Linked DNA regions of Nothobranchius furzeri. The protein of the gene in region 5 interacts with the protein of the main gene of each other region in a biochemical or structural test. Links are inferred from orthologs where the notes say so. Each region holds a gene or a part of one and is shown on either strand. Other genes may lie near its edges.

Region 1 (4,102 bases), on a different chromosome or scaffold from region 5:
GGACAACTTATTTTTTCATTGATCCTATCGTCTAATCTCACAGCTGAAACAAGCATCCTTAATAATCTGTGCACAGGAAGCTTACCGATGCTGTAGTAAAACAAAAGGTATAATAATTTATTATTAATAAAACCTTGTTGCAGCACTAAAGCAGAAAAATTAGATTTTGCATTAAATATGCAAAATATTTACATATGAATTGTTTTAGAGCCCTTTTATTGGCAGAATCTGATATTAATTTAGTTCTTACAAAAAATGGGTCCCAACATGGTTTGTGTGGCGTTGCCATAGTGTGACGTCATAGGCACAGATCCCCTGTCCTCTTGTTTGGAAATGGAAATATGATCACCCTACATTAAACAAACTGTCCACCCGGGCTTTTGCGCTGCACAGAGACGCTTCGCTGCCTACGACTGAACGTCAGTTGAGAGTCAGTCTCATGCAGACTGACCAATGAAGAGAGGGCCTCAAGTTAAGACCCTCTCCTCATTGGTCAGTCCACACGAGGTGGGTCAAAGGTTACTCTGGGCGGGTTACGTGTTGTCAGGAATTCAAGTATTGAGTATATTTACTGCATATTACAGTAAAATATTCTGTATGTGACCACATTATGGTGATCCTTGGGTCGTGATGATGGAGCCCTTGAATATTGTTGCCCAGGGTACAACAAAGTGTTAATCTGGCCCTGGTTCCGCCGTCACATTCCCGCAGAAACTGGTTGATCACACCGGGGCCAGACTACTAGCATGTGGTTTTACAACCACAATGTCCTCAGAAGCAAAAATGCTTTTAAAAGGGAGGGAGGAGTCCTAACTGTTGCTGCAGGTGTGTTGTGTGAGAGTGCAGTTATATACTGGTTAATATATTTTTGGGTTCAGTTGCTTTCATGTGGCCTAATGTGAGTCTATTTGGGATCATTGGAATGATCAGCAGCATTTCTTGATGTGACTTTATGGCAGTTGCCCAAGGCATCATCGCAAGGAGGATGGCATTCATTTACTTTTGTTTTATTTGGTATTTTTTCAGTCATTTTTGGAAATAGTGATCAATTTTGATTAATTCACAGCCTATGTTTAATTACATTTAAAATAAATGTCAACAGATGAGATCAAACAAAACAGATGAGAATTGCCCTTAAGCTGTTTAACTTGGACCAAGCATTTTAGGTCACAGATAGATGTAGCTTAGGGTCTCTGTCTATACACCTTATAAGACAATTTAGGTGATGGCATGTTGTTTTTCTGCTATTGAACTGTTTTCTAATAATGTTGTGTTAAATAAAGTGAAGGAAGGAGAGAAATAACGTTTCCCTAGCAGTTTTTAAAAATTTCCCCATGTAATCCGATTAATCGATTAATCGTGTCGAGACACCATCCGATTAATCGATTATCCAAATAATCGTTTGGTGCAGCCCTATTTCAGATACTTTCGCATGACTGCCACCCGATACGATAAGCTGGTTTGTCGTTTGGCACCACTTCTACAGCACCAGGGAACAAATTCCATGCCAATTTATGCTGCACAGAGACTTGCCATTACCCTGCGGGTTTTCGCTTCTGGTGCGCCCCAACAGGCAGTCGGTGCGAGCTATAAAATGGGTTCCAGCACAGTTTCGGGGATTGTGACCGAGGTTTGCAAAGCGTCGTGGGCCGCACTGCCGCCTGAATTTCTCACCTGCCCCTCCACAAGCCAGTAGACTGCCATAGCAAAGGACTTTTGGCGACTGTGGAACTTTCCAAACTGTGGGTAGCCTCGATGAAAAGCATGTAAAACATTAAAGCACCACCGAATGCTGGGAGTGACTACTTCAACTACACGTCTTCAACGCGTCTCATCATGGCGATCCAACAGATCAGACATGCTGGAGCAGTGTCAGTATGAATCAGCCTTTAGGCTCCCTATAAAATCTTACTTATTGCACCTTTCTCAAGTAAAATCTAGTAATCTTGTTAATATAAATTATATGTTCTCAATATGATCACAGTAAAATCTGTATACATTTGCTTCAGTTAGTTACAATAGATACTTAAAAATGTGTTAATAAAAACACGCTTGCTAATATATAATTTAATTTAACCTATGAATAAAACCCATGCCACGTTTGTGTTCAATGCTTCGCTAATATCACGCACTAAATCTAGGTGAAGTTTTTCTATATTTCGAACGAACAGTGATTATTACTAAGAGTGATTTTCTCCTGTTGCTTGTGAGTCTCTGTTACGGTGGTGAATTGCCTTCCTCGTTGTTTTGTTACTGTTATTTTAATGCTCCCGGTATTGGACTTACCAAGAAAAGTGCTGACGACGAGGGGATTTTAATCCCAACAGCTGTATTGCTTTGTTTGTTTCTTTGTTCTAGTGGACACTGACGACTTCCATTCAATATTAGCAACAACAAGCTAACAAGCACATATAGCTAAAACCTCACCGTCTCACGTCAGTGGACACTACTTAATGGTGAGGAACTCACAACAGTCAACTGTCTGGTCAATTCGCTACAAACTGCTGTCCTTAAAACAGACGAGGGAGAAAAAGAAAACACTTGTCTACTTAAGTTACTAGAACTAACGTTAGCATGCTAATCTGGCAGTTAGCTTTGGTTAATTAACTATTGGACTCGGCATCATTTGAGTCTCTAAGAAATAAGTCAGTTTTAATTTTAACAATTTCACATAGAATATAATTTAAGAAGCAACAAAGTCAGTTACATTATATTCATACCTGTCGTTGTCTGCAGTCCTGCTAGCCCCAAACAATAAACCTCCAGCGACAGACCAATATCAATAGCCGTTAAAATTACGTCATGACGCTATACGCCGTAGAGTTGGGAGTACGGCAAGCCACTTTAACATTTAATAATCAACCGCATTTGGCAGCATGTGATTCCTCAAAAAAAAAGTATTTATCCTAGTAATAGTATTCTTATTATCCAAAACTGTCAACAAAGATACTAGCAGATCTGTTGTGTTGTCAGTAGAAATTATATTTAAGGAAGTCCACAATAGCAACTTCCCTATAGGAAAAATGTTTTAATTTTACCTGTTTACCATTTTACCTGAGGCATGGACTTATAGTAGAATTTCTACTATTAATGGCTGAAGTGTATATGTATCACCTAGTGAGAGTTTAGATCCGGCTATTCAAAATGTCCATTCCAGATAGGAAGAATGTTTTTGTGGATGAGAGGTGCCGAGCAGGGGTGGGCATACTAATTGCCCTAAATCTTGGTAGCTGTATGTTGGGGTTTACCCCAGTGAATGAGAGGGTAGCCTCCCTCCGTCTACGTGTGGAGGGACAGGTTCTGACTATGGTCTGTGCTTATGCACCAAACTACAGTTCAGAGTCAGACTACCCACCCTTTTTGGAGACCTTGGAGGGGGTGCTGGAAAGCGCTCCTTCCGGTGACTCTCTTGTTCTGCTGGGGGACTTTAACGCTCACGTGAGCAATGACAGTGAGACCTGGAGAGGTGTGGTTGGGAGGAACAGCCCCCCTGATCTGAATTCGAGTGGTGTTTTGTTATTGGATTTCTGTGCCAGTCATGGATTGTCCATGAGGAACATCATGTTCAGACATAAAGGTGTCCATATGTGCTCTTGGCACCAGGATACCTTAGGCCGCAGCTCGATGATCGACTTTGCTGTTGTTTCATCTGAACTGCGGCTGCATGTCTTGGACACTCGGGTGAAGAGAGGGGCGGAGCTGTCAACTGACCGCTACCTGGTGGTGAGTTGGCTCAGATGGTGGGGGAGAATGCCGGTCAGACTAGGCAGGCCCAAACGTATCGCGAGGGTCTGTTGGGAATGTCTGGCAGAGTCTCCTGTCAGAAGGAGCTTCAATTCCCACCTCCGACAGAACTTTCAAAATGTTCCGGGGGAGGCAGGGGACATTGAGTCTGAATGGACCCTGTTCCGTGCCTCCATTGTTGAGGCGGCCGACCAGAGATGTGGTCGCAGGATCGTCGGTGCCTGTTGTGGTGGCAACCCCCAAACCCGCTGGTGGACACTGGTGGTTAGGGATGCTGTCAAGCTGAAGAAAGAGTCCTATCAGGTCTTTTTGATCTGTGGGACTCCAGAGGCAGCTGACGGGTACCGGCAGTCCAAGT
Region 2 (4,242 bases), on a different chromosome or scaffold from region 5:
TGATGTCACTGGCGTGGGTGGGACTGCTTGGCGTACTGGATGGCATCGAGTGCAGCTCCAATCTCGAAGTTTTTAGCCTGAAGGAGCCGAGTCAACCAGCCGCCTTCATCTGTAAAACCCATCGAGAGCATTGACGCCAGCGACTCCACCAGGCGGGGGTCAGCCTCTGTGGGGGACAAAGGGGAGGGGCTTAATAGGGACAGGACTACCAAAAAAAAAAAAAAACTTGAACCGCAGAATCTGAACTCACCTTGAGGCAGGTGTGGATAAAGAGCTGCCTCCCGCAGACCTGTGGGTCCCTCCTCGGTCCCTGACAGAGGAGCTGGACCTGGACCTGGACTTGGACTTGGGCCTGAGCCCTGGCCCTCCAGCGACTGAAGCTCACCTGTAGATGGATCAACCTCTTTAGAGCTGAGATGAGTCCACTCATCATCTTCATCTCGGCCCACCTGCAGATTTGTGTATTTGGTCAGTAATTGTCATTAATTAGACTGATCTATTAGTTTTTGTCTGAGGAAGACTGACCTTTGGCCCCTGCTTTGCTCCACCTTCATTGCTGGCTCCACTTTCGCCAGCTCCCACATCCATCTGCACTTCACCCTGCTCTTCCTCACCTTGAGTAGGTGAAGTCACCTTCATCCTTTGCCCCTCATGCTCCACGTCGATGTCCACATCAATACCTGCACATGCACAGATAAAGTCCCTACTTCATCAGGATTCTGTTGTCAGGAAGTTTAATAGAAACGGTTAAATGTGATATTCTGATCTTTCTGAAGGGATGGTCAATAGGTCATATATCTACAGTACAGACACTGCCTGCAGGTGACATCACCGAAGGTGAAACAAAGTGCTCCTCTGAACAGAGGCTAACTAGTCAGCTTGGTAATGAAATAATACATCGTTTCTGGTGTTTAAAAACAACCCATAGTGACGCGTTAGCACGCTATATTAGCAGTTTTTAAAGCCCTACAATTTTACATGAGATTGTTTCTTTAGTTTATGCTGTTTGTTTTATTCTAATAACGTTTGAAATACTATGCTACTGCTACTGCCTGTGTGCCATTGGGTTTTCACTCTGCCCAAGTGGAGCAGCCAATTAGGAAAAGCAGGACATTGAGGTTTTTCTTCTGGCTAATCCTGGAAATTAGCTTCTAATGTCACAGATCCAGCTAGCCAAAAGTAATGCTCTGGTCAGAGGACTTCCTATTCCTAGAAACAGTAGTTTGGAATCTAAATTGACAGAACAGCACTTTAAAATGACTTTAAATGTCTGAATGACACTCGTGTGCGTATTAGGATGAGTTCCCTCTTGTTTATTGCACATTAAAAACATCTCCAGGTAAAACAACTCACCTAGTGGGCTCAGCATGGCAGCCACGCCCTCGCCAATGTTCTTCAAATAGTTCACGCTGACCTGAGAAGCTACAGAGGTCAGAGGTCAGTCTCTGTTATTGGACAATGGCTCTGAGTTGGACTCCTTTTGACTGATGACCAGTTTGTACATAAACACAGATCTGTTCACATCACCTACCAGAGGAGGTGCTGCAGTCAGATGCTGAGCTGGAGGGAATGGTTTGCTCCTGCTTCTGGTTCTGGTCCTGGTTTTGGGTCTGTGCCTGGGCCATGTGCTGGTTCCACGTGCAGTGTTTCATCTTTTTCATCCATTTTCCTCGAGGAAACCACTGCTAAATAAAATTTTAAGAAAACCACCGATTTATCACATTTTAATCAGGAAATGTGACTTGTTCTGACACCTGCCAGTGGTGACCTGAGCTCTGACACCTGTCATCCAGGTTACTCACCTGTAGAGGGTGCCACACGGGCAGCAGAGGGTGCTCAGTGTGGGTCCCTCGAGCCTGGCAGGTGGAGCAAAGGTCGTAGTCTGGACACACTGAACACTTGAAGCGCGTTCCGACCACAGGGCCCTCACAGCCGTCACAGGTGACGTTGGGATGGACGGCAGGGGGCGGGCCCGGGTGAGGAGGTGGGGCATGAGGAGGTCCATGTTGATGAGGGAGCCCGAAAGCGAAAGGGGGGAATGCATGAAGAGGGAAGTCCCGGCGGTGCTCCTTCTTTTCTGCAAGAGTTCAACAAAACTTTAGTCAGATGGAACCTTACAAAGAAATAACAGGAAGACGACTTGTTTACCTTTAATGAAGAGGCGAAAGGTGGCGTCCTTGACAAAACCCAGTCCCATCATCAGCTCATCATCAGAGGAGAAGGCCACCAGGTCTCCATCTTCATCTAAAACACCATAACTCAAACATCAAGTCCAAGCACAGATCAGGTGGCACCAAACATCATTCATCAGAATATTAAAAACAATCCAGAACCAGAAAGACACGCAGCAGAAATCCAGTCAGTGTTTGGGTTGAAACAGAACCAGCTCTGATATAAGCGCCTCACCCTTGTAGAATAGGTTGAAGTTGCTCAGGTTGGAGAAAGCTGCCGCCACCTTCCTGCTCAGGTACTCGAAGCTGCAAGAGACGTCCTGGTCCACCGCAAACCTGCGGATCTCCTTCACCTGCTCGTCCTTTCCCAGCAAGTAGGCTTTCACCGTCACCGACATTACGAACTCAATCGAACCAAACTCCGAACAGAGACAGAAAAACAACCAAACGGAGAACCAAACTCTAGAACTTTGTGACGCAGCGGTAAATTTCAGCCTCTTTTATGTTTACTTCCGCATTCTATGTCATCGTCTTAAGATGACGTAAAGACGCACACAGCCTCCCATTGGTCCTCATTGAGCTCCGCTAATGAGGGACCATTGCCGTCTAGAAACATCTTTTTACACAGCACGGTGAGGGACTTTCCAACTAGTCACGTGAGCAGGTGTTAGTTGGGAAAGCCGCTTAGTCATTGTGACGTGGCACATTGTTTTATTTGTTAGAAAAGTGATTGATTTGTAGTTTATTAATAAAAAAATATGAAAATCCTAAATGAGTGGATCCAGCTGAGAACGCAACTGCAGGTCTAGAAATCCAGCAGAGAAACATAAACATGCATGTTTGTGTGTGTTTTAACTGAGCTTTGGTTTCAACCCCGACATGCTTTTTCTGTTAATTATCTGCTGAAGATAACCCCAGTCCGTAATTACTACAACAGAGTCAAGAACCCATACACACTTTTACAGAATTAATCTACAGCTAAAACGAAAGCAATCTGCAAATCCTGCTCTAATCAGTCCAGATTCAAGCTGATTTTCTGCTGTCCAGTTGTAAACAATTAGATGGGATATGAAATGTAAAACATAAGTCAAACTCTCAGTATTCCTCAAACACCTGAGTCATCCTTGCATCACTCTTTTCAAATGTCTCATGAGCTTCTGTTTTGATCAAATGTTTGTTTGCATCTGTGATGTCACCCAGCCGCTGCAGCCAATCAGCAGCAGCATGAGTCATATGACTTGCTGACTCAGAATCACAAGATGAAGCTGAAAACCACCCAAACCTCTCATTTAAAGCCTTTAAAGGTCAATGTAGTGAAAGTCACTGCATTTGAAACTGTTATTCAGTTTTGTCAGCTTGACTAAAAACAATTTATAGAATCAAAGATTTTTAATGGAAGAATTAGCTAAATATTTTCTGACTACATTGTATAAAGAGCTCTGATTACATAATCAGGTTTCAACAACCTTAAGGTAAAATTAATTTAACATTTAATTTCAATTATTTAATTGTAATCATTTGTTTTTATTGCTTTGGTCCAATGATAAACATGCATGCTTGGATTTCTTTTTGTTCTTAAAACAAAGTTAAACAATCCCAGAATGCATCAGTGCTCTCAGCATCCTGGAGCTAGAGTGAGGTTCTTCCAGTGAGACTGATTAATAGCCAAATGAATCCACTTTTAAACCAGGTAACTGAATGAATTACAGACATTGAGACAAATATTTATTTAAACCAGTTAACACCTTGCACCAGAATCAGGTCCATAAGGTTTTACATCTCCAATCAGTCAAAGTTGCTTCTATAATAGAAACCAGCTGATTGGATCAATCCAAAGCAATTCTCTATCCTGGGCAGCACCAGGCTATTGATTGATCGATCCTTTATTTTGGTTGTCATGTTTACAGAGAAGATCTTCAAACAACTAAGATACATCACGATAACGTCATGAATTACAACCAAAAAAGGAATAGGCAGAAGCAATGCTTATTTTGGCCTATTCTCCACCTACAGCAGGTATGTATGTGCTGAATAAAAGAGAGAAAAAAACATTAATATTTTACACATCCTT
Region 3 (4,295 bases), on a different chromosome or scaffold from region 5:
TTGACGGGTCGAGGAAACTGTAAGATCCTGCAGAGAAGATGAGAAGTCAGAAGGCTGCAGCTGCTGCTGGTCTGAAGGAACAGCATTAGAGAACAAATGTTTACCTTTTCTCTCCTTTAAATTCAAACTTCACTCTCACATCATTCTGTGGAGACAAAGTCACGTTGAGCATAAAAACCATTGGGACGACGACGTGGGTTTTATTTTGAGATCTCAGAAACATGTTTGCTTTGTTGAGCTTTTCTCACACTTCATGTCCAAATCACATTTCTGTGGTTACCTGGTTCTTGGGCGAGGAGGCTTTGGGTTTGCCTAGGTCCGACAGGAAGGTAGCAGGGCGGCTGGAGCGTTGCAGTTCGGCCAAGTCCTGCATGATGGAGTTCAGGGCCTCCTGCTCATCTGCAAAGATAAATTAATCGGGTTTACAGATTATCCACAGCAACAAGTGACACTTTGATCATTATGCTAACAATCGCAAACCTAAAAGATAAAAACAAATGAGCCCCAGCAGGAGCTCATGACTCGTCGCTTAAACAGATGTCATAATAGAAAAAGAGACATTGTTTACAGAAAAAAAAGATTATTTAAGTTTTTAGACAAAAGACTCAGCTGGCTCTCTGCCAGCTGTAACATGATCACAAAGCTCGCACACATACCCATCATCATGGCACGGCAATTGACCCAGGAGGCCAGGATAGAAGACTCTCCCATCAAAGGGATTCCTTTCTCCTGAAACAGCAACACAACTGGATAAATAATAGCATTCAGTTTAATGAAGACGCAAGTTAGAAAGCATGGAGCTGCTGACTGATCCGCAGATCTGTAATTGGTGAGCCAGAGGCAGAAAGAAAATGCATAAATGGGGATTATTGGAAATGTTTGCTCTGATGTCTTTTAAGGGAACAAAATCTTGTGGAAAATTGTTTTGTTCCTATGATCCAATTCAGGAATGACACTGAAACTGGCTCATCGTATGCGTCACTTGGTTTGATTTTTGCAGAACCAAAAATCCTTATTTCTCAACAAATATGGGGGTGAAGTTACTTTTTTGGTTGCCTTTAAATGCAGTGAGCATTCTTGTCTTCTTTTATTTCATCCTGTTATGAGCTCATTTTTTTACACCCTAACTCACCTGTAGAGTCCAAGAAGCTCTACTGTTGCTTATTTTGGAGGTGTGTTTGCAAAAAGCAACAAGAAACATAACATGCTTTATGGAAACTATTCTTAACATGGACTTCAGAGGTTTTCTGGCTTTTTGGCCGTTTTTATTACCAAACAGCTTATAATACTACATCTGCAGCTACCTGCTTTATAATAAATACAGTTTCATTGTGTTCAAAGATGTATGGAAACCTCTGTAGGTTCACCTGAACACAAGTTTCACAGACAATTATAGTGTTGGCAATTCTTCACTAAAGTGGCATCATTAACACAGAAGCTGGCTGGTGTTGACGCAAAAACAAAACACAAACCTGTAATTTTAAATCAGTTAAAACGTTTAAGGAACGGCAGATGCACTAATATTCCAACTAGAAATACACACAGGTATTATTTCTCAGAATATTAAGAATATTGCCTTAATTACTTTATGGTATTGTTGTTATTAAAGCCTTTAGAAGATAACTGTATTTGTAACCCATAAGCCCCGGAAGTTAACAACTGTTGCTAGCTAATTTTACATTACGACTCATGCCAGGATAACATTTCAAAATAGCTGCTATCTTGACATGAAATTCTTGAAAAATACAATTTGTTGTTTAAGCAGCAGGTTTTGGGGGATGAAATGGTAATGACTCCACTGTTAGCTGTCAGGCAAGGGAAGTTATCAGGCTAATCAAACGCTAAAGCTAACTCCTAGCCGCTGGGCTAACCGAGCTAACCAGCACTCGCCCGCGCTGCACAATTATTGGAACAGTTCATGAACGAAGTGAGATTGTTTTTGTCTTCAGCCTAATCCCACCTGATGAATAATTTAATCTCGGTTTATTTCCTCAACCACAGGACCGGTGACAGGAGCCCCGGGCCCTGTGGAGAGCCGCTGGAGGAAGCAGAAGTTTGTCAGTCCGCTGTCAACTTCACTCGAGTCTTGCTGGGCCACGACGACGAGGCCCGGTAGCTGTTGGTTCAGCCGCTTCGTCTCTCCAGGAGGGGAAGTGACAGGGTGATATTTATTATGTTCGGCACGCTACACTCCAGTGCGACAGTTCAAAGGCTAATTCAATCCACAGATCTCATTTTGTTGTGCTACACAGCCTGCTTAACTGTACCTTGCTCGATGCTGACCCCTAGTTTCATCGAGCTAACATGTACGATTAAAAACACACCGGAAATAATTACGCCGTGTTTATAAAATAAAAGCAGCACGTCTCGTGGTGGAAGGCAAAGTGGCGTTCTGTGTTTTATTTTGAAACAAATGTTAACCGAAAGTACTTTTATTTTGAGAAGCTTAACTAGTGTTAACCCCTAACCTCACTGAGGGTCCAACAGAAACATCATACAAACATGACAAGTAAAAATATTTATTAGATTTTTGAGCATTTGTTTGGAGCTTCATTTCAGTTCCAATTTATTAAATAAGTTGTAAACACAGTGTTTTATAGTATAAATTAAGCTTCCGTTTAGACAAGTCACATTTCCTCATAATTTAAATTCAAAGCAAACGATACTCAAGGTCAATTCAGGTCATTCAAATGCCATCCAGTGTGACTTGCTGTTCCAAACACACTAGGCCCACTCATTATCTGATTCATTCCAGTGACTTTTTTTCCGGAACTGCGCTGCTCTGGGTGGCTGCATGTTGGAGTAGCTCTGTTGACTATATGTAAGTTTAGCCTTTTCTTTAGCATTTTTTCTTCTAGTTTCTCAAGAAAAACTATTTTTTGGACACTTTACTTTTCTGTTTCTGGTGCTGTGAAGCTTGGAGGATTTTTACTGCTATTTTTTTTAGCTTTTTTCACTTTTTGAGCATTTGTTATGATGTGTAACCATGGCAACAAGCTGGTTTACAATCGGGAGCAGCTGATTAACATTGGAAAGGCTGAAATAATACCTCAACTGAAGCCACAAATCCCAAATGAGCTAAAATGCAAGAAGCGTGGGTGCAGAGCGTGAGCAAAACGGAGACACAGAGAGAGAGGAAATTCAAACCATCTCTTCCATCGATCATAATGGGCAATGTGAGATCACTGGTCAACAAGATGGAGGAACTCCAAGCCCTTTCAAGGACTCAGCCAGAGTTTCGGCTGTTCGGGAACCGCTGGAGGAGATAATGCAAAGAAGGATTCTCCAGAGAATCAAGAAAATTATGGACAACCCTGAGCGTTCTCTTCACAAGACTGTCCGACAACGGAAGAGTGTCTTCAGTCAGAGGCTTCTTCAGTTTCGCTGCAACACTGACCGCTACTGGAGATCCGTCCTGCCAACAGCCATTGTAATATACAACAAATCTTTGATGGCTTGATTATTATTATTATTCTGATCTACTACAGCAATCAATTTCCCTCTGGGATTAATAAAGTATTTTTGAATTGAATTGAATTGATTACATGCTGGTCCAAGTTCATTCAGTAGTGATTAACTTGACCCCTATTAATTCCAATTTAGTTCAGTTATTTGCAGTCAAATCCAGTCATGTTATGATAAAATTTAAATTGTTTCATTAAACACTATGTGTAAATGTGCATTCAACGCATAATTTTACCACTTTATATTCCCAAACAGCAAAATTCTGCTGCAAGAAGAACAATTCGTTTGATTATCTTTGGTGTGTTCTTGCTGTGTTGAAATTCTAATTCCATCTTTTAGTTTTTTTAAACACAGAAAGGTTTTATTTACCTGGGTTTTGCAGCCGCAAACGAAACGTTGCAGGTAAATAAAATCTTTCTGTGTTTTAAAAAGAACTAAAAGATGGAATTAATTTGATCACATTTTAAACACACCGCTCACTTCAGATCAATAACACTAAAACTGTGTCTTGCGATGGGATCAACATATTAACGTGCGCCTCATTGTATGATTTTTCAGATAAATGCAGTAATAATGATTATTAGACTTTTTTATTCATTGCAATTTGTTTGAATTTACATGAGCAAATGATTATAATTACTTTTAGACAATGATTGCTACTTCTGATAGTTTGAACATTTTATCTAAATATTATTTAAAAATATTTGTTGTTCACTGCTTTCATTAGAAGCGCAACAACAGCATAAAAATATAAAAAATACTATTGTTTCTCTAATCTGAAGGGAGTTTTATTGTGAAAAAACGTCTTTTCGTCACTTCCGGCTAATGTC
Region 4 (4,228 bases), on a different chromosome or scaffold from region 5:
AAATTTAAGCTATAATTTCCAGCTATTGCCTGGAACCGGTGCTAACCAGGTCGTGAACGTGGGATTAGCCATCCATTTACCATTAATGTTGCACTTCCCCATGGTGCAAACTCCCACTAGCATGCTCATCTAAAAATAGCCCCCTTTCACAACCAACCGAATGTGTACGGTTCCGCTTACGCCAATATCATACACAAAAAATGCCAAACTAACTAGAAATTCATGAAAATTTTATAGAAATAAAAGAATCTTGTTTATTGGGTCTTTGGTAATTTAAGACCGTTGGAAACTATTTAAGGACTATTTGTCATTTTTAAGGATTTTTAAGGCCTTAAATTTGGAAAAGCTAATTTAAGACTTTTTATGGACCTGCAGATACCCTGTATATACTTTTAATAGTCTAAACCAAACTTACAAAGTTAAAATTGCAGCTTATGTGAACAAACAAACGGTCTCCTAACATTTACCTAATCCATATTTATCAGAGTAGTCGACCCATTTGCTGATCCAGAAGATGGGGATGCACGCAGGATCCTCGGCCTCCTCTGGAATTACACAAAAAAACCTTAGATGTAGATTAAAAAGTAGATAACCGCATCCGTTTTGACAAAATTCAGAGAAATAGCAACAGAGACTCCACAAGATCGGTAAAGACGAAGTGAGACACGTCCACTAACCTTGCTGGATGACGGCCCTTTCAGAGGGTTTGGTGGACATGATGCTGTTCAGCTGCTGCAGCATGTCTTTCAGGTAGGGCTCTGATGGTTCAGCCGCCCTGCACACACACACATTTAAAGGTTAACAACATCTACGCAAAGAAAAGATAAAAACTAACAGAACTAGAATTTTTATAAAATGTTTGTCATGTGATAAATAAATGAAAAACACCTTTGCATAGGCTCGTCTTTCACCTCCGTTTTCTCCGTACCAACTGGGAACAAAGAAAAAAAAAACGTTAACATCTAAAACAAGACTAATAAAATCTATGTGGATCAACTCAAACATCATTGCCTAGGAAAAATAAAAACAAAGATTTTCATTTTGATCGCCATTACCCTTGTTTAGAGCAGTCAGAGGACGCCGCTGGCTGAGCTCTGCAGTTGTGGAGGGGGCGATGGAGAACCGAGGGGGTACAGTAAGACACGTGGTGGGCAGACGGAGGGGGATGTAGCCGGACGTAAAGAACTCATCGGCCTGCACTTCAGCAACGCTTGGCCTCTGTGCAGGATCGGCGTGCAGCATCTTCTTGATCAGAGTCGCCGCAGTCGGGGTGATGTGCTGCAGGTTGTTCAGATCATACGACTCAATTATTAACTTAATTTTAGAAAGAAAACGGTGCATTCAGTTTGATTTTCATACCCAGGGGATGGTGTAGTTGTTCTTCTTGATGCGACTGTAGGTGTCCTTCAAACAGGAGGTCTCAAACGGGGGCTTGCCCACCAACAGAGTGTACCTGAAAGAACAGAAAAGGGAAGCTTTCACAGCTGGGACATTTCAAATGAGTTGCGTTTGTGGGCCTGTACTTACAATATGCACCCAAGTGACCAGACATCGACCTCATAGCTGTGGCCCTTTTTACAAAGCACTTCTGGTGCTATGTAGTTGGGCGTTCCACACAAAGTCTTCTTTCGTTCGCCTTCAAACTCGATCTTAGTCGCCAAGCCAAAGTCCCCTAAACAAGAGAGAACACGTAATAACGAGGCATGCTTTGATTCAAATCCTTCTCGACGTGATAAAAACAAAAGATCTAGTGCAAGCTACAAGTCCAAGCAAGTGGAGTACCAATTTTGACATCCATGTCGTCGTTGAGGAAGATATTGCCCAGTTTCAGGTCTCTGTGGATGACCTTGTTGTTGTGCAGGTACTGGACACCCTTCAGCAGCTGGGCCATGTAGTAGCGAGCTTCAGGCTCCGTCACAGCCTTGCGGCGTTTGTGCAGCTCCAGCAAGGACTGAAATAAAGCATTTTAAACAGTCAAGACAACAGCTCAAGAAAAGAGTGATCTTTTATGCGTTTAATTATAAGATTGAACATATGGTACACATGGGGCCACCAGAGTGGTACTGGACCAATAAACCCACATTTATAGGCTAGAAGTTTCTTTTTAAGATGTTTTTATCAAAGATCAAATAGTTGTGAGGTGTTAAATGAGTCTGGTACTGCTTGCTTCCCACTATTTAAACATGAGGACAACGGAAGATGTCGCAGTGTTTAACCGTCGGCTCTAAACCTCACTGAAAAGCTGGTTTCCTTCCATCGTACTCACCCTTCTCCTGCAGATCTCCAGGACCACAAACACATGGTCATCGTCTTCGAAAAACCCGTGGAAGCCGACGATGTTAGCGTGATCCAGACTCTTGTGTATGGCGATTTCCGAGGTCATCTTATCCCTTTGGTGCTGCTTTTGTAACAAATACTTAGCTACGATCTTGCCAGCAAACACCGTCTTCGTCTCTACATCTGTGATCTCGTAGCATTTGGCGAAACCACCCTTCCCGAGGAATCTCCCCCTCGTGTATCTTTTCATGGTTCGGGAATCAACGAGAATTTCTGGGATTTCTTTGAGAGGTGCCGATTTGGGATCCGCACGTTCCAACGGCTTTGCGGTACCAGCACTCATTTTGTATTAGAGCTGTCTTCTATGAACTTACAGGAATGTTTATTTTCTCTCCGCGCAGTAAACGTGGTGAAAACTACAAGAATCAAACTACTAACCCTAACACAACCGACGTTACTTTAGCCTAGCTAGCTAACTTTCTCCCATACACGTCTGAATTTAAATCTAATCACGAGTTTAGACTTCCTGAAAGCAAGCGATAATTAACATTAGGTTCTACAATTATAAAACGACATATATAGACATAAATATTAAAATAAATCTGCTTTCCTCATGGAATAATTCAGCAGACGTGTCCGACGGCGGCGTCTCCTGTGTTCTGTTCTGCCCTTCGAAAACAGTTTCTAGTATTAAGTTAAATGCTCGCTCTGTCGCCACGGCGCTTTCTCATTGGTCCACTTGATTTGAATTCTACGCAAAGCATTGTGGGAAGAAAAATGCAAAACTAGCCAATCAACGGGGTTGAAATAAAGTTCTAACATCGTGATTGGCTCAATGACGTCTTGCGTTTCCTTAACGCAAAGGCTGATGGTAAATGTAGACTAGTGTTAGATTTTACTTGATTTTATCGTCATCCAGAATCCAAGAAGGATTTAATTTTAACATGTAATCATATTATTAAACTGGATAAAACAGTGAAACGACAGTGTGGTCAAAATAAAAACGAAAATTGAAATAAAATAAGACGAAATGCACAAACGTTTTGAGTAATAAAAGCATGTTTGCAAAAACGATATCGGCACAGAACTATTAAATTGTGTATTTCTACAGTTAAAAGGTAAATTGAGAAAATCATGATGTTGCAAAAAATTACATTATTGATAGTTTAATTCACTTTCACACATATTCCACTGGGTGGCAGCAGTGGACAAATTCACAATTATTGTTCCTTGAGAAAGCACTTTTTTCAGACCAATCACACAATAAGCACTTCATATGACACAGCACGGATTCACAGCTGTAAATAATGAGATCATAAATAGATTATTGTCATGATGGTCTAGAATTAACTTTATAAATGTCTAATCATTAAATAGGTAACATCATCTTAAAATAAAAATTTCAGTCCACAACACTTTTTCCAGGGAATCATTTTCTGTTGAAGCCTCCCATAGTTATTAAAACAAAAAGTAAGAGTGCACAGCTAGTGGCTGATTTGACTTTGTTATAAGGGGGGATGTTTAATATAGGGACTATTTACTATGCACACACTCTTTAAAATATGTGTGTTTTACAGTTTTTTGTTTTTTCACTTTGTGTGTTTGTTTATAAATGGTCTTCAGGCTTTAGTCCGACTGGTGGGTGATGTGTGGAGATTGCTGGCTTATATGTGTCTGTTCCATTTTTGCACATTCATCCTTCTCTTCTGCTGCCATGTGTTTCCATGGCAACACACAGAAGATGCTGTAGGGAAAACTAAATGAAGTAAGCTTGTCTGTGCTTGTATGGGTCAACATTTACACACATTTAGTTTATTACACAGGATTTTGCAGAGAGCTGAACGTCCTCTGCAGAGGGGCACAAAGAAAGTAGAGTAGGTTACCTCCCTCCATGTTTCATCTTCTTTTCTTCCACAGTTTTGGCTCACTGGAATCTCAAGGGTGCTGTGAG
Region 5 (3,989 bases):
CCTGCAAATAAATTTTCACAGGTGATGCCAATACCTATGCGACTTCAAGGGATGTGCTCCTGGCTGCAAAGCATTGCACCTTCGAATACAAGATTTTGTCTTGGCTTGTGAGTGTTTATGGATGTGTAGACAAATAAACTTGTTGATATGATATGTAGATACATATGTAGATACATAAACTTGTTTATATTCAGTACAAGTTACATTTTTTTTCTGCTTCCGTTAGTTGAAAAATATGAGAAAAACCCCTTGAGAAAATAATCGTGAATTCAATCACAATTGCAGTATTGAAGAAAACATCGCAATTAAGATTGTTTTCCAAAATCGTTCAGCCCTAGTAAAAGGATATGAAAACAAACCTTTGCAGATTTAAAAAGTCTTAAGTGGACCCTCTTTGACAACCTGCTAAACGCAGGAAGAGACTGACAGCTGATATTTCACAAACATTGCTTGGTGGGGGGACCCACAGGGATGGTAGCACGCCACCCGTTTACTTGGAAACGAGCACACACACACACACACACATGTACGCAGATAGCCGACATGACTGTGCACCACTCTAGTATCATGCTGTTAAATTTGAATCCACAGGTTTTGGGCAGTGCTACAGACCAGCAGACTATCCGGAGTCAGGGGGAATATTTCAGAGGCACCTTATTTATATCGGCATGGGGCACTGCGCTTCCCAACTCTATAAATAGCCATGGTAAATACTTAACCTGATCACTTATAGTGCTAACAGAATAATAAAAGTGGAAAACTCTACTGAAATTGTGTTTTCACACTGATGAATGCTGGTATTCACAAGATGGAGAACCTGTCTTTCTAATTTACACATTTCTTGGTATCCAATATGCAGATGGATTTACTGTAATGTAACTGAACACCTCTGAATGTTTGTCCACACACAGCTTGTTAAATACATGACTTAAAGTTAAAGGGCTTCTCAGTTACTAGAAGTCTTGTAACCAGTCTAATGCTAAAGTCAAAGCAAAAACAGTTTAAGACTTTAGGGTGACATTATTCCAGTGTACTGGAACTTAGAAATTTTCATTGATGAAAACAACCAATCAGTTAAAAGCTGCAAGTTTACAACAAACAATTAATCAAGCGGTGTTTATTTATACTACTCATTAGAAACTCTCGATATGTCTGAACATTGATGCAGGAGAGGCTGAACCAATGACGGAGTGGAATCTACTCAAACTTGTTTGACAACAGTGGCAGCAGGTCTAGAGTGCTGACAAAAGGCTACTAGGTGATCAATATAAAGCCTCTAAAGAGTTAGAAATGTCATACTCACCTTGTCATTTTGAACTGAACCCTTTACTGCATTACTTTCTTTGTGATTCTTAACATCTGTAACAGAGCTTCGCAACCTTCCGGGGTAGCATGGGGATAAATGAATGTGCACATGTGGGGAGCGAGGGCTGCAGAGCTCGGGGTTAGAAACGTGGCATGAAATTCCAGTGTTAGGGTAGGGCACCTCGAGGGAAAAGCTCCTCTGTATGGCACGATGCTTTTCACCAAGCCCGATTTGATCTTTTCCAGACAAACCGCTTTTATCGTTTTTCTCTGATGGCTTGGATGAAGAAAACAAACAAGCAGAGGTACTGCGATACAGTTTTCTGTGATTGATGTTTTCCCTTTGAGATAGGTGAACTTGGTGGTGAGCTTCGTTGGCTGCAACCATTTCCACAACTCCCTTGGTAGATACTGTTGGTTTCTGGTGGGCAAAATGCAGCAGCACGCTGCTAGAGTGAAGATTAGGTCTGTCTGAGGCTGACGGAAGCTCCATCAACGCGCTATTGCCTTCTGATTTGCATTTTGTTCCATCCTGTAGAGGAATATTAAAGTGGACCATGTGTTTCATGTCCCTAAGTTCAGATGAGCAGCTTCGTTTTGATGTTTGGTGTCCACTTGCTACAGTGGAGCTCGCCCCTACTTTCTCTTGGGAGAAATCACTGAAAGACGTCTGAAGATGTGACTGATTAGTACCCTTTGGCAGTGGGTAAGCAAACGGAGTCACAGCACATCCTGGGGAAGCAGGTGGAGTGCTACATGGGCTCTTCGGAATAATAATCAGTGAGGAGCATCGTCGCAGCGGGACCTTGGACTTGCGACAAAGCAGAGTCCTCTCCTGGATTGTCCTGTGCTTTTCTGGAAGCTCTGGCTCAAAGATGCTGCTGCTGCTACAGTACCCCGCATCGCTGGCCATGCTGCTGTTGCATGAACCTCCGTCAGAGCCGGTACCTGCTCCAACTTCACAAGCCCCTGGTTCTCCATCTTCTAAACTGCAATCCAGTTTTCCACCGAGTTTCCCACAGGGCTGCAGCGCAATTTGCAAAACGCTCTTCTTATTACACCCTCCAGCGTGAACCCTGGGTATGAACACTGAAGAGCACTGACTGCTGGCAACGTCTGGTGACAGAGGAGTCACCTTCAAGTGAACAGAGCTGTGCGCCAGATTCTCCGCTGGGCCATGAGCCGACAGACTGACTCCACTCTCTTCACCTTGGCTGCTGAGGCTTTCCGACAGGGGGTCCGTGTTGCTTCTCCTTGACGCAAAATGCAAACGGAGCTGATGTGACATTTGTTCAACTCACTAATCCCTGTAGGGCTGGCGAGACGTACATGATCAAACTTGCTGGTGGAAAAAAAAAACGAGAGCAAACGCAACAGCTCCATGCGCTGTGATCACAATCATTAGTAGCTGCGCATTGCCAAAATAGCTCTGGTGACAAGCTACATTCCTCTCCAGGCTGATCTCAGCTTTTAGTCAGAGCAGGCCAGTGGTTCTGTTTGGAGACATGACCCAAACACATGACCTTTCAAACCGAACCATTAGCCCCTTTAAAATTCCTCGGCCCAATAAAGAAGAACAAAGCTACTCTAAAGATAATTGGAAAACCTTTTCCTCAGCTTTGCATTCTAATAAAAGCCTAGCGTAACTCGACTGTGCCTCCAAAAAAAAAAACAGACAAATTAGCATTTTTCTTCTGAAAATAAAGAAAAACAAACAAAAGCATGACAGTCCAACGTGCTGCATTTTAGACTGAAGCTCTGGTAAAGTGTCACATCTGCGTTGGCCCATTCGCTCAGGACTCCTGCTGCTGCTATGCTACTAATGTTTCTGCTGCTCTGTGCCCCACAAATAGTTTTACCCATTGCTATTGAATTACAGGAAATCAAACGAGTGAATGTCAACAAAATTCTGCATCAAACCAAGGAGCAGGTTGCAAAAGCACATTTCAGACAGTAAATCACAGAGCTCATTAGGATAACACAAGAGCTCCTTTTAGTGTTTTAGCAGTGACTTTAAATATTTCCTGCAGGGAACAGGACAGCTGCTGCCTAATGAGAAAAACGTGAGGTTTTAAGAAAAAATAAATGTCATGAAACTGGTTATCTGATGCCTCATGTAACAGTCAATGCTGCTCTTATTACTTCTCCATAGATGTTGACAGTTTAATTTATTAACAGTGAGGCTGCCTGACCTATTTCAGGGCATTACTTTGCTTCCAAAGTATAATAATGGAAGTCACGGCCGGGATAAGGACATGACTCACTGCAGGACGCTGTGGAACTCCTAACCTATTTTTTAAACCAACAGAACCGTGTGACAGTAATGCAATGGCCATACAATATCAAATGCTTATATAGAATGACGTCATGCGGCAATAATACAGAGACACGTCCCTTAAGAACTCCATGAGTTTGGTATCAAAGTGAACAAAAACAAAGGCGGTATTTAATCAACTTTTCAGAGAACCAGTCTGCTGTGTAGTCACTACAAGCTGAGTCAGAGAGGTGTGGTTCGAGTAAAGACTGGAAAAATCAATCAGCAGGTGCAGCAGGTGGATGAACTAGTTTCTTAAGCTGTGTTTATTTACTTTTAGGTATTTAACCAACCTCTCAGTCACTGTGTAACAGTTACTGTTTGTATGCAGCATCTAATCTGGAATATGCTACATCGATGGTTTAGTTCT
Region 6 (4,090 bases), on a different chromosome or scaffold from region 5:
CAAACAAATACTCTGAGGCAACCAAGTGTTTGACTGCTAAAAAATATTTTGTTAAGAGCAAGGCCAGATTATTGAATGGCTGTTACGGTAACTATTGGCCTATGAAAGGCTGGATCATCCAGTGGCTAATTTGGGCACAGACCCAGGGGCCCACTTCTACTAGGGGCCCGTGCAAAACAAGATTATCCAGTGGGTAATATGGGTACAGGCCCAGGAGCCCACACGGGCCCACAGAAGACCAGATTATCCAATGGTATTATGGGGTACAGACCTAGCGTCCCACCCATATGTTCCCATACAAAACTGGATTATCCATTTTGGGCCCAGACCTTCTAAAGGTCTGTGCAAGGCCGGATTATTCAGTGGGTAATATGGGCACAGGCAGAGGGGCCCATTCTAGGAGCCAATGCAAGGTTGAATTATCCAGTGGTACTAGGTTCATGCTCAGGGTCTCATGCCTAATAGCAGCCCATGCAAGGCTGGGTTATCTAGTGGGTATAATGGGAACTAGGAGTCTATGTAAAGCTGGATTGTCCAATGGGTAATATGTGCAGAGCCCAGGGCCTCAAGCCCACTAGCATGCAAGGCCGGATTATGCAATGGATATTCTGTGCACAGGCCCAGGGGCCCTTGCCTACTAGGGGCCCGTGGAAGGCCAGATTATCCAGTGGTTAAGATAAACTCAGGCCCAGGGGCCCAGTTTCAGGAAGAAAATAAAGGGTTGTTTTCAACTTTCCATGGTTGATTGTGATCATATGTGCTGGTAGATCACAAGACATAAAAACGTTGTGCCCGGGGCCCTCTGCCATTATAATCCAGCACTGGCTAAGAGCTATGAATACACTTACAACCCACAATCGGAACCATCAATACAAAAACAATAATAAATAAAATAAATTGAGCTTGAGGTACAGCATTCTCTCTAGGTTTAAAATCATGTTGTGGTCTCCCTCTTGTGGACAAAAATAAAATGGTTTTTCTCATTTCCACCCAACTGATTTCACTATTGTGGAAATAATTTGAACATTTAAGACATTTTCTGCACAATAGAATGTTTTCAGAGTATAAGCCAATCAAACTGGCTATCAACATATATTTGAGAGTGATTAATTGTCCACACATACACACTCACTTCTTCACATGAAAGGCCAGCAGCTGATGTTTGGAGTTTCACGAGTGAGCAGAAATGAAGCTTTTTGGGCTGCAGGGCTTCACGGTAATTACTTCATTTCAATGGATTTAACCATGAGTCTGGAACCCGTGACGGTCATGAGGGGGTTCTGCCCCCCACTGCTTTCTCGAACACCAAGTGAAATGACTCAGAGCTTCTCAGACCTAGTGTTGAGAGCAGGCTTTCAAATCAGGACAGGTTTTCGCTGACATCCAAGAATAATTTGGTAAGAAAATGTACCTTTTGTCCTACGTTTTCTCTGGAAAAGAATCAGGGATACGACTGGTCCTTAAAGAAAATATTTAAACTTAACTAGAAACTAAGCAGGCTGCAACAGGTGTCTGTTCTAAACTGGAGGGACTTACCAAAGGCTGCTATCTTTAAAAATTGACCTAACTGACATTTCACTTTATAGGACTACTTTCACAGTGACTTGGTGACTCCAGTGTAGTTTTATCCAATAGGAGGTCAGAATTACTCTTTAACTGGATACTTTTGTTTGGTTGTAATGACAGCAAATGTCAAAACATTATTTTTACTTCTATTAAGCTAAAAAAAAGTATTATGTTGCCCCCTGAAGTACTCTCCTGTTGACTTTCAGCTTGATGTTGTGCAATCGTACAGACGGGATGCCTCGTGGAGACTTCAACATCTATTTTGCGAGTGGTAGAAGAGGAAACGTTCGAGCTGAGGAGTGTGTTATTTTCTATTTATGCCGTTTTACACCGGCAGGTTTCACACACACTCCTGGTGGTATCTTAGACGTTTGCACTCTGGTTTACAGGCAGTAAAAACAAATGCTGCACTAAAAAACAACTAAAAACGTGCTGTCGATTCATTCCAGAGCGGTGGGCATTGCTCTCCTGGTGGTGATCCTTGCAGGCCTCTTCATTCTGGGCTGCTGGTATCTCAAGAAGAGGAGTGGCTACAGAATAATCAGGGTGAGACAATTATCTTCACTTTAACTATTTTTTTTTGTTATTCCATCTTATCAGCCTACATATTTAAAAAGTAAAACCTGCTATTTATAAATTCATTTATTTAGTTGTAGTTTGTTCTTTCTTTCTTGTCCCTCTTCTACAGCAGGGGCGTGTCCAGGGAGTGGCCTGGGGTAGCACATGCCACCCTTAGATTCTGATTGGCCACCCCAGGTGCCACCACACTAATTTGCCTTTAAATAGGCTTTTCACTGTCCACATAAAGCTTGGGGCTAAAGCAAAAAATAAAAGCATAACCATTGGTGCCACCCATGCACAAAGTTGTGCCTCACCTGGGCCACCCCATTTTAAAAGATCTGGACACGCCACTGTTCTACAGTAAATTAGTCTTTTTCTTTGTTTTGTTTTTTACCTGCAGAACCCAAGATCTGGATCACCAAGTTTCACAGGAGGACAGTACTCTGAAGCCGGACCTTCAGCAGATAACAAAATGCCTCTCACTGACTTTGGGAGTTTCCGATCCGCGGTGAGTCAACTTAAATAAATAAAACAGCTGATCTTATTTACAACTGCTGAGCAGTCTTTTGTACATATTATTCTTTAGCAGCTTGAATACAAAAACACGTGAACATTTTGCTAACATTCAGGACAGAGAGCCCTTGTTCAGAGTTGTGAGCAGCATAGAGCATGTGAAGCGAACGCAATGCAGCAGATGCCTGAGGGAGATTATTTTGTCACCAGGCTAGGCAAAAGGTATTAAGAATGTCTCATTCCCAGGGAAGGCAAGAGAGCCAGAGGATCAAATCAACTTATATTCACTACTACTACTTTACTATGTGTGTATGTCATAATGCAATTACAAAAATCACCTTAACTAGAATATATGATCAGTAATGTTATAGAACTCCAGTAATCATTTAATTTAAACTTTCTATTTTTTTAGGTACCAAATGCTCCTCCTGCCTATGAAAAAATCTCCTCAGGAACACTCCCACCTCCTTACTCCCCGTGAAAGATGGACAACTACAGGATATATGGAGAAATGGACAACACTAAGACCAAACTAAGAACTTATTTGATGAAATAAGACATTACTGTCAATGTAGTTCCTAATCTTTAGTTTCAACAAACAAATGCAAAAAGACCTCACATTCTGGCTTGATAAGAATCTCAAACATGCTTGTTCGGGACAGTTACAATGTTTATTTTCATGTAGAAATGTCCACTGTTGTTAAATGAAAATGTACCTAGTAAATATTACTTTTGAAATATCTATAATGGTAAAAATAAATAAATGTGACTCTAAAATATTTACAGACTCAGACATGTAGTACAAATCCACGCATTGGTTAAGACTGCTAGAAATGATAAATGTAGTTTTCAAACTCTTGCTATTTGAAAAGAAAAAGAAACCATGACAAAAACACGTAAAAGGATGTAGACAGCTGTATTTTTTCTGAACAAATCTAGAAGAGCAACTTGTAATAATGAATAGTAAACCGCTGGATATGTCTTGAACCAATATCTAATAAAACTGCAGAAGCTCAACTTGAATTTTTTTTTCATCTACTTCTCACCTTACGGATTTGTTGTATTTACTGGCCATGAAGTGAATCCTTGCAAGTTTACAACATTCGTCTCAAGAGGATTCAAGTTGCCACTTGACAAACCCACAGCATACAATTTCAGTATGAAAACACAAGTTCATGTGGAAAATCATTTAACCAGAGGGTAAAATACTCTGCCTAAAATATAAGATGACTCAAAGTATAACTGGAAGTAGCTATTGGTAGAGGGAACAAACAGACATCCTGCCAAAACGAAATGAAAACAAAAACAAAAGAAAATCAGTGTTCTCACTTCGCTGGCTCAGTGCTGTTCTGTTGGTTCACTGGTGTCTGCCCGAAGAGGGTGTAAAGAGGAATCATGTGTTTGTAGTGCTCCAATAGAACTGTTGGAGGAAACCACCAGTGCATCAAGA
Region 7 (3,975 bases), on a different chromosome or scaffold from region 5:
TACTGTCATCCAGAATGTTTACTTTGGTCTTAAACTGCATCCAGCTGTAAAAATCATTGTCTTATTGAGCTTCTTCTGCAGCGTGAACGTTTCCTGCTGAACTCTGGTGTTGACCTGAAACCTGAAGATGGATGACCCTTCTGACCCCCCGACTCATCACGGGCTATGTTGGGTAACCGCTTTCTTCAGCACTCACTATTATTAACTAGTCACTTCGCCACCAGGTCAGCATTTAAAAACTTTGACCCCAAAGATGTTTATCTACATACAAACAATAAACAGCGTCAAGCCGCAGCTCCAAATCAAACATCAGAGTAACGAGTTTTATCTGAAACAGGAAAGTTTAATCAGCGGGTTGAAATAAAAGCTGCAGCAGGTCTCAGCGTGATGCCCTTGAGTTTCTAACTCCTCACACTTTAACAAAATACACAGTAACAATGCAAAAACAGCTTGGGGAGGGGTGGGGGGTGGGGGTAGTAAATAAAATCCAAAACAGGATGTTCGTTTAGTTCCTTTATTACCATATTTGTGGAGATAACTTAATCAGGGAGCAAAACATAGACCAGACAATAAAGTACTAAAAATCTGAGATAGAAATAACCCACAACCACCCCACCCCTCCTCCTCCTCTACCCAGCGGGTCTATGTGGCGTATCTCTTTGTCCACTGTTTGGCTGTTCGGTCATGTTCGGCTCTGTTAGTCGTGTACTGGGTGGCGATGCTTCCTACCAGCGGATCGGCTGCATGGGGAAGAAAATAAATGTTTATTTTAAACAAATTTGTAAATCTGAAAAAGGTTTTAATGAAAAGGAATCTCACAAGACTAGAGATTTATTCTGTGGGAATGAGTGACATCTCCATCTCTGAAGCTATAATCTGTATATTTATACCAAAACTGGATTGTTTTTGATTCAAACACAGAAAGAGCTGAACCCACAGAAATCAGATGTAATGAAAACCATCCCTGATGCAGACGTAAACCAAAACACAACGAAAGGACAGGGCATCCAGCATTTTTGATGAACTATAGCTGGAAGCTTGAGATCCAGCCACCCAGCCTGTGGTCTCACCTGGGTTACAGTCTGTGAGCAAGGAGCAGATGGACAGCAGCACCTTGGAGATGGTGAGGGCGGGGCTCCAGTTGTCCTTCAGGATGTCCAGACAGATCACCCCCTGACTGTTGATGTTGCAGTGATAGATCCTCGTACGGAACGTCACCTGCAGACACAAGCAGGTTGGAAAATTATTTTCAGATCTACTCGCATGCTTTTTTATAAAATCGCCAGGAAGCCTCAAATATGAGCGTTTGATGATATTTTCCTCTCATAACTGATTTAACACAATAAGTCAAACTTTAAAAATAAAGAATAGTGGTTGTTAAACTTGAATGCAGCAGGAATTAAAGGTGGAGCAGAGCTGAAACACTGGAGATTAAAGCCCCCCTAGTGGCTGAACCCAGGTACTGGAGAGACTTTCAGTTTTAAAGCTAAAAAGCTCTCAAGTCTTTAAATCCTTCAGAAATGGGATAAAGAACTCCAGAGTCACAGACCACCTCAGACACAAACAATAGTCTTGTCCGAGAAGAAATGATCCCTAAAAAAGTAAAGTTACATAAATGCTCCAGATTCCTTTGGGTAACTATTAGAAAAGGTCCTGAAACTGTTTGACTGAGGGGTCAGAGGTTGTTAGGAGGCACTCACAAATAATTCATCATCCTTAAATTAAAAAGGCCACCAGTCCCAGTTCTAATGCTTAAAATAAGCCTCCAGGCTTGTATGTTTAAAACACGCACACCAGAACAAAAAACCTGTCATTGTGTTAAATATGACCAGAGGCTGCTTAGACCTCTTTATCAGTGCGTGATGCAGAATCAGCTGTTTGTCAACAGTCAGTGATTCTCTCACACACACACACACACACACACACACACACACACACACACACACACACACACACACACACACACACACACACACACACACACACACACACACACACACACACACACACACACACACACACACACACACACACACACACACACACACACACACACACACCCCATCACCTTCTGTACAACACAGACAACGCAGATGCATGAGTCCTGCTGCTGTGAGGGAAAAGTCCATAAAGGAGCCGTTATCTGGGGAAACTGGGCTGTAAATATGGACGTTACTGGGACGGTAGCGAGCTCCGCCTGCATATTTAATGAGCTGCTACCAGAAGAGTACTCGATCACTTCATCATGGTCCTTTGGTTGTGTGGTACAGTGGAAACCATTTAAACATCCATCTCTAGATTTCTGGGATCAGATGCGGTAAAGTCAGAAATGTACCTCTGCGTTGCCGTTAGCAACCATCAACAGAAACCTGAAGACAGACCAAGTTTGTTCAGTTTAAACTCATCTGGTCAAAAAAGAATCCGCTCCACTTGGCCACTACAAGCAGTGTCCAAAAGAACCTCTAATAAAAGATTTAAGTCCAGCTGTTTCCTGTTTGTGGGACTCTCCAACAATACATTGAACTAATCTACAGCAAATATTAGTGTCTACAGACAATCCCTTTATTTATAGTACATAAAACATTCTTTTCTAATGACTGTATCTAAATGCGCTACACTTTTCTATTTTATGACATAAAGTATGCTTCTGAAAACGTAAAAGTAGAGCCAATAAACACTGACGAGGTTATTAGTGCAAACATGATGACAGTGAAAGACGCACATCCCATCGGCAAAGCAGAGGAGCGAGCCGTGGCTGAAATAGCTGACTTCTGTCTGGAGCCTGTTATTAAAAGAGACAACAAGCTTTTCTGGTAGAAATATACAGCCAGCCTTCCCTAGATGTCTCGACTACAGTACCCGTAGGTCGGTGCCACCAGCTCATCGAAGCAGGTTTTCAGCAATCAGTCCACAACGTCCTATGTTGAAGCTGGTAAACATGCTGGTTTTTCAGGCAAAAGGTCTTTTTATAAGCTGCTGTTTAAAAGTTAATATTATGTGTGTTATGTTGTTATTGTTCTAGTAATAGTGTTTGTTATTCAGTTTCTGAACAGTGAAGGTCCAAACCAACAGCTCAGTAATTCCACTTGAGGTTTAATGTCGTAGTTTTTAAATTAGTCCCAATAACGCCGTACATCTTGGTCAAATAAGGCAGAAGCTTGACGGTATTAAAATTTGGATACCGCCCAAGCCTAATATAAAGATATAAAAACAATTCATGGAATAAGAGAAAAACAGACAAAAACAGCCACGGGTACAGCAACACCTGCTCGAAGTCAGCTGATGATTAAAATCTGCTCTTCCCTGGACACGATTGTGTGTAGGAGTTTTTAAAACCACCTGTTTCCTAATTAAAAATGCAGTTCTCACACACACCACTACCTTTGGGGGTTTAAAGGGGTAATCTGGCGTGAAGGCGATGTCCAGAAAGAAGACCCCTCCCTCGTACACGGAGCCGGGCGGTCCCAGGATGGTCGATCTCCACTCATAAATGTTGTCTCCTTTAGGGCCGGCGCTGCAGGCAAGAACATTACAGTCAGTCAGAAGAAACTGTTTCCCAGTTTTTCCCCTAGGAACCCATTGACCAATATCTTTGATTTAATTTATTGTTAAGAACATCAAGATGCATTACAGTGAACATTATAATAAAGTAAATTTTTCTAGTGCAGAGAGGAGACAACCCATAGAAGCACTGATTTGATCTCATTTCAGAGAATAGAACAGATCAGATGCACCTAATAAATAAAATTACTAAAATAAACTCAGGAATCTGTTTCTTTGCTTCACTGTTCTGGTGCTGAAAATATCACTAATGCAGATCAAAGGAGATACACAGATGAATGCACCTCTTATTTATTATTTGGAAATTAGTGGGTGTGGTTTACATCAATAAATTATTTTAAATCTGAAATTGATATGGATTGATCAGAAGTTGCTATGTGTGTTGTTTATTTGAAAACTATTTACAGAGCAGCC

The links.
Region 1: the proteins of nedd4a (region 5) and yod1 form a complex in vitro, tested with the Homo sapiens proteins (2 studies listed by BioGRID, with this or other methods). The link is inferred for Nothobranchius furzeri from reciprocal best matches to the Homo sapiens genes NEDD4 and YOD1.
Region 2: of the proteins of nedd4a (region 5) and sqstm1, one has a biochemical effect on the other in vitro, tested with the Homo sapiens proteins (2 studies listed by BioGRID). The link is inferred for Nothobranchius furzeri from reciprocal best matches to the Homo sapiens genes NEDD4 and SQSTM1.
Region 3: the proteins of nedd4a (region 5) and map3k2 form a complex in vitro, tested with the Homo sapiens proteins (2 studies listed by BioGRID and IntAct, with this or other methods). The link is inferred for Nothobranchius furzeri from reciprocal best matches to the Homo sapiens genes NEDD4 and MAP3K2.
Region 4: the proteins of nedd4a (region 5) and plk1 form a complex in vitro, tested with the Homo sapiens proteins (2 studies listed by BioGRID, with this or other methods). The link is inferred for Nothobranchius furzeri from reciprocal best matches to the Homo sapiens genes NEDD4 and PLK1.
Region 6: the proteins of nedd4a (region 5) and mlana form a complex in vitro, tested with the Homo sapiens proteins (2 studies listed by BioGRID and IntAct, with this or other methods). The link is inferred for Nothobranchius furzeri from reciprocal best matches to the Homo sapiens genes NEDD4 and MLANA.
Region 7: the proteins of nedd4a (region 5) and ubiquitin-conjugating enzyme E2 E1 form a complex in vitro, tested with the Homo sapiens proteins (7 studies listed by BioGRID, with this or other methods). The link is inferred for Nothobranchius furzeri from reciprocal best matches to the Homo sapiens genes NEDD4 and UBE2E1.

Annotation. Positions count from the first base shown.
Region 1 is NC_091743.1:71,972,352-71,976,453, reverse strand, and holds the start of yod1 (ubiquitin thioesterase OTU1), read right to left. Parts: upstream 2,801-4,102; 5' UTR 2,721-2,800; intron 478-2,720; exon of another isoform or gene 1-477. UniProt on the Homo sapiens protein: Hydrolase that can remove conjugated ubiquitin from proteins and participates in endoplasmic reticulum-associated degradation (ERAD) for misfolded lumenal proteins.
Region 2 is NC_091741.1:64,353,292-64,357,533, reverse strand, and holds the start of sqstm1 (sequestosome-1), read right to left. Parts: upstream 2,801-4,242; 5' UTR 2,570-2,800; coding exon 2,407-2,569; intron 2,245-2,406; coding exon 2,149-2,244; intron 2,078-2,148; coding exon 1,803-2,077; intron 1,686-1,802; coding exon 1,532-1,685; intron 1,423-1,531; coding exon 1,354-1,422; intron 681-1,353; coding exon 526-680; intron 450-525; coding exon 251-449; intron 167-250; coding exon 6-166; 3' UTR 1-5. UniProt on the Homo sapiens protein: Molecular adapter required for selective macroautophagy (aggrephagy) by acting as a bridge between polyubiquitinated proteins and autophagosomes.
Region 3 is NC_091743.1:83,211,177-83,215,471, forward strand, and holds the start of map3k2 (mitogen-activated protein kinase kinase kinase 2), read right to left. Parts: upstream 2,801-4,295; 5' UTR 1,961-2,800; intron 730-1,960; 5' UTR 712-729; coding exon 657-711; intron 400-656; coding exon 281-399; intron 146-280; coding exon 105-145; intron 28-104; coding exon 1-27. UniProt on the Homo sapiens protein: Component of a protein kinase signal transduction cascade. Regulates the JNK and ERK5 pathways by phosphorylating and activating MAP2K5 and MAP2K7. Plays a role in caveolae kiss-and-run dynamics.
Region 4 is NC_091744.1:8,886,495-8,890,722, reverse strand, and holds the start of plk1 (serine/threonine-protein kinase PLK1), read right to left. Parts: upstream 2,801-4,228; 5' UTR 2,621-2,800; coding exon 2,267-2,620; intron 1,952-2,266; coding exon 1,783-1,951; intron 1,673-1,782; coding exon 1,528-1,672; intron 1,454-1,527; coding exon 1,360-1,453; intron 1,279-1,359; coding exon 1,056-1,278; intron 932-1,055; coding exon 889-931; intron 776-888; coding exon 678-775; intron 546-677; coding exon 468-545; intron 1-467. UniProt on the Homo sapiens protein: Serine/threonine-protein kinase that performs several important functions throughout M phase of the cell cycle, including the regulation of centrosome maturation and spindle assembly, the removal of cohesins from chromosome arms, the inactivation of anaphase-promoting complex/cyclosome (APC/C) inhibitors, and the regulation of mitotic exit and cytokinesis.
Region 5 is NC_091749.1:60,024,149-60,028,137, reverse strand, and holds the start of nedd4a (E3 ubiquitin-protein ligase NEDD4), read right to left. Parts: upstream 2,801-3,989; 5' UTR 2,594-2,800; coding exon 1,304-2,593; intron 1-1,303. UniProt on the Homo sapiens protein: E3 ubiquitin-protein ligase which accepts ubiquitin from an E2 ubiquitin-conjugating enzyme in the form of a thioester and then directly transfers the ubiquitin to targeted substrates. Specifically ubiquitinates 'Lys-63' in target proteins.
Region 6 is NC_091746.1:53,502,367-53,506,456, forward strand, and holds mlana (melanoma antigen recognized by T-cells 1), read left to right. Parts: upstream 1-1,290; 5' UTR 1,291-1,397; intron 1,398-1,586; exon of another isoform or gene 1,587-1,638; intron 1,639-1,772; 5' UTR 1,773-1,776; coding exon 1,777-1,865; intron 1,866-2,015; coding exon 2,016-2,112; intron 2,113-2,527; coding exon 2,528-2,635; intron 2,636-3,052; coding exon 3,053-3,121; 3' UTR 3,122-3,657; downstream 3,658-4,090. Other genes in the region: uncharacterized bromodomain-containing protein 10, read right to left, coding at 3,979-4,090. UniProt on the Homo sapiens protein: Involved in melanosome biogenesis by ensuring the stability of GPR143. Plays a vital role in the expression, stability, trafficking, and processing of melanocyte protein PMEL, which is critical to the formation of stage II melanosomes.
Region 7 is NC_091745.1:63,686,867-63,690,841, reverse strand, and holds the end of ubiquitin-conjugating enzyme E2 E1, read right to left. Parts: intron 3,515-3,975; coding exon 3,382-3,514; intron 1,219-3,381; coding exon 1,071-1,218; intron 741-1,070; coding exon 643-740; 3' UTR 501-642; downstream 1-500. UniProt on the Homo sapiens protein: Accepts ubiquitin from the E1 complex and catalyzes its covalent attachment to other proteins. Catalyzes the covalent attachment of ISG15 to other proteins. Mediates the selective degradation of short-lived and abnormal proteins.